2 linked regions of the Coturnix japonica genome follow. The protein of the gene in region 1 interacts with the protein of each later gene in a pairwise test. Links are inferred from orthologs where the notes say so. Each region holds a gene or a part of one and is shown on either strand. Other genes may lie near its edges.

Region 1 (3,651 bases):
CTGGACATAATCGTAACTTTTCATAGTTCCACAAAAAATCTAAAGAAACTTGTATTAAGAAACAGGCTTGAACAAAAACCAAAGGTAGTTGTTGGCTGTTGCATGAAGGCAGTCTAGGGAACACAGTTATAGTGCAAAGTAATTGAGTATATCTCATAAGAATGTTCTAAATGTCAAAGAACATACCACGTTACTAGGTGTTACACTTTTAGAAGTGAAGTATTTGATAGTGCTGCTGTTGGAGATGAAAGTTATCCAACTAATGGTTATCTGTGGTTTTTTTTTCAGTACAACAATCACGAAATTCGCTCTGGGAAACACATCGGTGTATGCATCTCTGTTGCCAATAATAGACTTTTTGTTGGTTCCATCCCTAAGAGTAAAACCAAGGAGCAAATTGTTGAAGAATTCAGCAAAGTAACAGGTAACGCAGTAACTGTTGTATTGAGCTGGGAAGTGTCGGATGTGATCAGTAATGAACTTTCTGCCATCTTTATCTTGTTGAATGATGATGACTGATAGGACTCAGCATTTCCCTTGACTTTGGGGATTTATGGGTTGTTGTTTAATGTACTGTGCCAAGGGCTGAAATCTGTAATTAGACTTGGTGTGTAGGTCCAGTTTTACTGAGACACGTGTAATGTTTAGAAAGGCCATTCAAACAAACGTGTGGTTTAATTCTTTCAGTGCTAACAGGTATTTCAGAAACTTTTCAAGACAGAACTGAAGCAGATTGGAGAACATAACTAGTTTTGTGCTTCAGAATTGCTAGCGTTCTGATAAGGATCTATTTTTGTTAATAGCATATAGACTTGAAAAGGTAATGTTGTATGGTTTCTGTTACTGAATGCTGTACTTAAGGTTTCCTGGAGCAACACTGAAACAATTTAGAAGTATTGAAATCATGCAAGTTTAACCTTCTGTTCTTTGGACATCCATGGAAAAAGCACATGCTGATAAGTGTTGTGACATAGGGGTTTGAGAGGAGTTACAAAATGCAACTTTATGGCTGCCCTCTCTCCTCTGGTCAGTGAGAAGAAAGGTATTCTTCCATAGTTTCTAAGCTTTCCTCACTTAATAAAAGGGTTGCTAAGCTGGGATAGACTAACATCCTTTTGGAGATGTTGCTCTTGAAAGTGTGGAAACTTTAATATGTTCATAGGCTCAAAAGTCCAGCATGATCATGCTTTTTGGAACCACTAGTTAGATGTGTACTTCCCAGAAACATAATCTCTACTTGTGAACATCAAGTCATAGACTAAAGCTATAACAAATAAATTCTTTGCTTAATTTCAGAGGGCCTTACAGATGTTATATTGTATCATCAGCCTGATGACAAGAAAAAGAACCGGGGTTTCTGTTTTCTTGAATATGAAGATCACAAAACTGCTGCTCAAGCCAGACGTAGGTTAATGAGCGGCAAAGTGAAAGTCTGGGGAAATGTTGTTACAGTTGAATGGGCCGACCCTATAGAAGACCCAGATCCTGAAGTCATGGCAAAGGTAATAAAGCTGTAAGAGAAACGTAGTAGAATTAAAATACCTTGTTCCAGAGTAAGTATTTCCTGATATTAGCCCAGGTTTAAATAACATCTGTCAGTCTTCTTGAATATAGATGTGAATTTTTAAATAACTACTGTCTGATGTTATCTCATTCTCCCAAGGAAGAATTGGTCCATCTGCTGGTGTACTTAATTTCTCCTCTGGAAGTGGATGTAGTGACTCCAAAAACACAAATAGCTTTTGTAGTTTAGGATTTGATTGCACAGAAATTTGGCTATGGTCAGAGAACAAGCCTGAATGATTTGTAACCCTGGAAATGCATGTTTATAACTTAAGAAGTGAAACATTTAAGATGTGCAGATTGGACTTTTCAGAGATGTAGCAATAGCTTTTGAGAAGATGACCAATTATTTTGTACTTTGAACTATGTATTTTTTTTTTTCCTTTCTTCATTACTTTGGCAGAGTGTTAATTCCTTAAAATGTTATGACTGGATTTTGAGTATTTCAGTTAAGCTTAAGTCTGAACTCTAAACATTGTGAAGTACACTGCAACACTTCCATTATACATATGATATTTTGCCATAGGAATTGATTGCCTGATTTTTTTTCTTCCCATCAGATAATGTCCAAGTCTGTTGTTTTCAGTTCTGTTGTGTAGCTGGGTTGTTTGATAGAAACTCATAGCTAGCTCTTATCCTCATCTCTTCACTTGCTTTTTGCCCGTGCTTTTATTTTCACCTGAGACAAATCACTTGCTGGAGTCTTGCTTTGTTGGGCCTAGTAAGATGACTTGGCTGAGAATCTCCTCTTTGCTGGTCCATAAGAAAAAAGGGCTGGAGCAGGGGCTCACTTTTAGGGGAAAAAAATAATCTGCTTTTGTAGTAAGGGCATTGCAGAAGCATTTTGGAGTACCCTGTTTTCAGGCTTTGTTTTTCTTGCTATGTATTGTAGTTGATCAGCAACAGGAAAGAATCTGTTGAGAGTGGCACTTCCTGCATCTCTGTCTGAATTTCTTGGCTCAAAAGAGAGCCATCCTAATCCAACATACTGTTAAACTAAAGAACCTCTGATGACTTGGTCACATAGTTAAGTGGGAGGTGGAAGGGACATCAGTCCCTATCAGTGTCTTTCTGTGGTAAACTTGCAAGTGTAAGGAATGGAAGACTGAAGAAATTAAAACTTGGTAGTGTTTTGTCCCGTATAATTTTTTTAAGGTGTCACCCTTTCAATACCTTGTGTTACTTTATATTTAAGTGGGAACCGTGTAGGGTTTGTGTAGGGAGCCTGCTTTGGCAGGGGGGTTGGACTCGATGATCTCTAGAGGTCCCTCACAACCCCTACAATTCTGTGATTCTGTAACTACAGGTTGGTTATCGGTGTTCCCAGCCACTGCCCTTCATGAGCAAAGGGAGAGTGCTTGACTCTTGTATGCTTCCTTTGGTAGAAGGCTCTGGGAGGAGTGCTGTAAGAGTAGAAGGTTGCTTTTATCAGGGCAATTATTTGATCTGCAGTTTTCTCATCCAAACTACTAGAAAATAAAGTCCATAAGAGCAAATGGTGTTGAAGGCAGATTTACCTTGAATTAGCCAGGGTATGAAAGTGATGTTTGAAATACCTAGCAAAAAAGCTTTTTTATAACTTTTAAGTAGTTGTGCTGATAGTTTTCTCCTAAGCAGCATTTTGATGCTGCTCATGTTTTAAATTATTTCTGTAGCGTGGTTGTGGGTACAGAGCATGTGCTGGATTGGCAGCTTAAGTAGCTAAATAAAGTCTGGTTCTCATGGCTGTGTGGTAGATGATAGGGCAGGAAATAGGGATACTAACCCCTGGAGAATGTAGTAACAGAGTTTGAAGTGCTTGTGCTGTAGGTAGGAGGAGGAAAAGGACCAGATTCAGACTTTCTGGGGGTAGTTCAATCTTGAGCAGTTCACAAGTGGGTCCTGCATTTATTACACAATGCTGCTGTGCATTTGCATGCCGAATAGCAGGGTATATTTGTTGTTAGATGTGTATTGGTGAATTCTTGGTTACAACCTCTGAGCCTTAACCAACTGCGTTTTTTCTTGAAACCTCTTCAGCTTAAATGAAATAAAAGTGATTTCATCATCACTCAGCCCATGCTTCAGTTTTTCTCTTAGCATTGACAC
Region 2 (3,651 bases), on another chromosome or scaffold:
CCTATATTTGTCAAAGTATCATTTTACTTTAATTTCCTCAAGCTCCCGTCATTGCTCCCTCCCATTCCCAAGGGCACACACTCTTCTATGACTGGCCTCTCGTATCATATTGTCAACTCAGGCCAGTAACTGGATCATTTACTGATGATTTAATATATTAAAATGTACCATGAATTTCTTATATCATAAATGATTGCCAGTTGTCTTAGTTGTTGATAATTAAATAAAATTCTTAAGTACATCACCTTAACAATTACCTTAGTCACAGACATCTGAATCTAAAAAGTTATTCATTCTCTTCAAAACAGGAAGTAGATGTTTATACAGTGAAGACTGAAGAACTGGCATTTACTTCAGCATTCTGCCTCCAAATTCAGCGTAATGATTACATTCATGCATTGGTCACCTATTTTAATATTGAATTTACAAAGTGCCACAAGAAGATGGGATTTTCTACAGGTAATCTGTACTTCTGTTCCATTTCTGTTTCAAGCTGTTTGTCAGTACTACCAGTAAGATGGTACATGAGGGTTTACCGTAACAATAAGTTTTCATTTCAGTGATAAAAACTACACCTTGATGGAAGTGATCAGGATGGAGAAAGGACAATTGTAGGAATTCTGCAAAAGAAGTGGCACAATAGCTACCAGTCTTACAGCTCAGAAAGAATTATAATCCTGGAGTTCATGCTCATCAGCAGCTATATCCTAATCCTGTATCATGTTTCTTGTAGGAAACAAGAATTAAGGGATTGTTGCCTCAGTGAGAAATAGCAGCTCTAGGTCCCAGCTTCCATGAAATCTGAAACTCCACAAATGTTTCTTGCTTTTCTCAGAATCTAAAGCAAAATTATCAGTTTTTCAATAACACACATATTGCTTATGTAAATTTGCTCAATCAACTCATACATGAAACTCTAACTTACCTAGGTGAGCAGATATTTAAAGGAATAATTCCATTCCTGTGAGGAATGGTTTGACAGAGTGAATAAACCAGTTTTGCAAGAAATGCAGAAATCTTGTAACTGCTTTAATGATGAGAACAATAAGCAATAATTGCTGGTTGTTACTCGCACCATTTGTGTCACTGGAATCTAATGTAAGTTATGAGCTTTTAGAAATATTTTCTTTTTTTTTCCCCCTTTTTTCCTGTTTTTTTCCCCTTACAGCAGCTTTCAGCTCTTCACCAAGAGTCAAAACTTATGTTTTATTCTTCTAGAATAACCATAGGGAAGCTATTATTTGGTACCTCAGATTCTTATATTTTTTCATCAAACACATTTCCCTGGTCATTCTATAAAGCCATTGCAGTGCAATATTTCTCACACTGTTACAGGTATCAGTGACCAATGACAGGCAAAATTACCAGTGCAAATTCACTAGGGACTGCTTAAACTTTTGTATTTAAATCAAGGATAAAAACAAATATGCAAAACAGAAAAAAATAAACTTGCTGAAGAGAAATGACAACTAAAACAAACAGTACCAGTCAATTAAAGTTTAGAGATGTAGTAAAAGCAGAATTAAACAAAGTAATTCCTGATCAGCCAGCCCTACACAATAGAAAGAAATCTGTGAAATAAGTATCCAAATAGACTAATGGCCAAGGCAGAGTAAAAAATAAAATAATAATTCCTTTTTTCCTACACTAGAGTAATACATTAACAAGCAGAAGGGAACGACTGGTTACATCATTCAAAAACATGCTTGAAACAGTCACAGTATCACAGTGTCACAGTCTCGTGCGGGTTGGAAGGGACCTTAGAGATCATCGAGTCCAACTCCCAGGATTCGAGTCTCCTGGGCAGCAGCGCGGCACTTCTACCACTTGCGCCACAAGGGGGATTCGAACCCGGGGCTACGGTGTTGCAAGCGGCATTCCTACCACTGCACCACCGGGGCACACAGTCATTCCAAAAGCAGTCATGTCACAAGCAGGTGCTAATTGCAGCTTTATGTAGGTGTTGTCAGAGTGATATTGAACTTCTCTCTAGTTGCCCTGAAGTTTGGGGCCAACTGTATGCAACATCATTTACATTCTCCTATACTGAAACAAGATAAAAGGCAGTTCTCACCTATTTTAGGACAAGATCACCTTTCTTTGGCGGCAGTCACTTCTTCCTATTAAACTAGATGATGATTTAGCATTGTCATCTCTCTTTGAGATTAACTTCATTTCGTAATGTAGTATTAGGACAACAGGCAAGAGTTCTAAGTTTTGGATAATCCCTCTCAGGTCTCCCTAACTTGAAAATGCAAGCATTTCTGAACAGCAAGTAGAGCAATACTGGAAATTTTGAAGCATGATTGCAAAGTGTGTGCTGCTGTCCTCAGGATTTATAGTATTTTTGTTCTCCTCCAAATATAATGAACAGCAATGGAGGTTTTTTGGGGGGGAAGAAGAAGTCTAAATACAAAATAGTTTAATAGAATGTGCTCAGTCCTGAATAAAAATATAAAATGAAGACAAACCAAAGCAAGCATTCAATTCTAATAAACTTAATTAATTAAAATACTTGTGCAAAGGAACCCCAGATTTAACTAAGACTAGCACTTGGCAAAATCTGTCATTTAGTTCTAAACTCAGAGGGCATCAAAGCAGTTCTACTAAGTGAGACTAGAAATTCATTTGGATTGGTATCCATCTCTGTCAATCATCCATAGCATATGCTGTTAGAAAAAAAAAGAAAGAAGAGGTTGAAATGCCCTTTCCCCAGACATGTTCTCCTGAAAATCTGATTTATATTCATTCAGTATCATGAATCAAAGGTTTTTTCGTCACCATGTTTAGCATTTTATGCATATTCCTTTGTGATTTTCTGTTTTTGAATTAATCTATACTTCTGACATTCAAATTACATAGCAGTAAAGATTTTCCCAACTTGAATGTGTGTAAGTTAATAGGAATACATAAAGGAAGTGCCTGTCATACTCCCTAATATTCTTCATGGAATCCCTCTTTCTGAGTGTAATCACTTCTGACATGTTCCAGTTAAACTTAGATGACATACCACTATGAGTCAATAGAATTGTGTTGCTATGATTGTCCTGCTTAAGTTCAACTGTGTATTGTATATGAGTTAAAAGTATTCTAGGCCTTTTTTCAATTGTTTGCAAATCTTCATTTGATTTATAAGACAATGACCAAATTTCTTTAAATAATGCCTATATATGTTTTCTAGCACCTGATGCTCCCTATACTCACTGGAAGCAAACTGTTTTCTACTTAGAGGACTATTTAACTGTGAGACGAGGAGAAGAAATCTATGGGACTATATCCATGAAACCAAATGCAAAAAATGTGGTAAGTCAGCATCATTGCTTCTAATTCCAGCTCTACTGATGACAAATGATAATCAGCAGTAAATAAAATGTGTATAAGTAAAACGAGTATGCAAAAAACACTAAATTTGTGTATTTTATTAATTAGCTGTATTCATAGCTTTGCCAAAGCTGGTGACTGTAATGATAATCTAGTTCTTACATTACAGAAGACAGCTTGCAAAGCAGCTAGCAAGGGAAGGAAGAAATTGTCCAGCTACATCACCAAGTCAACTGCCCTCTGAAATAATCTAGAGTCATATTTTGTGAAAAAAAGCAGGCAAGGGTTTCTTCATACTGTCACTAAAATCAGAAATAATAGCCCCCTGCC

What was found.
Region 2: the proteins of SYNCRIP (region 1) and PRMT8 interact in binary tests that used the Homo sapiens proteins (3 or more experiments, as listed by UniProt). The link is inferred for Coturnix japonica from reciprocal best matches to the Homo sapiens genes SYNCRIP and PRMT8.

Annotation. Positions count from the first base shown.
Region 1 is NC_029518.1:70,025,819-70,029,469, forward strand, and holds part of SYNCRIP (heterogeneous nuclear ribonucleoprotein Q), read left to right. Parts: intron 1-288; coding exon 289-424; intron 425-1,296; coding exon 1,297-1,502; intron 1,503-3,651. UniProt on the Homo sapiens protein: Heterogenous nuclear ribonucleoprotein (hnRNP) implicated in mRNA processing mechanisms. Component of the CRD-mediated complex that promotes MYC mRNA stability.
Region 2 is NC_029516.1:68,118,386-68,122,036, forward strand, and holds part of PRMT8 (protein arginine N-methyltransferase 8), read left to right. Parts: intron 1-308; coding exon 309-459; intron 460-3,181; coding exon 3,182-3,303; intron 3,304-3,651. UniProt on the Homo sapiens protein: S-adenosyl-L-methionine-dependent and membrane-associated arginine methyltransferase that can both catalyze the formation of omega-N monomethylarginine (MMA) and asymmetrical dimethylarginine (aDMA) in proteins such as NIFK, myelin basic protein, histone H4, H2A and H2A/H2B dimer.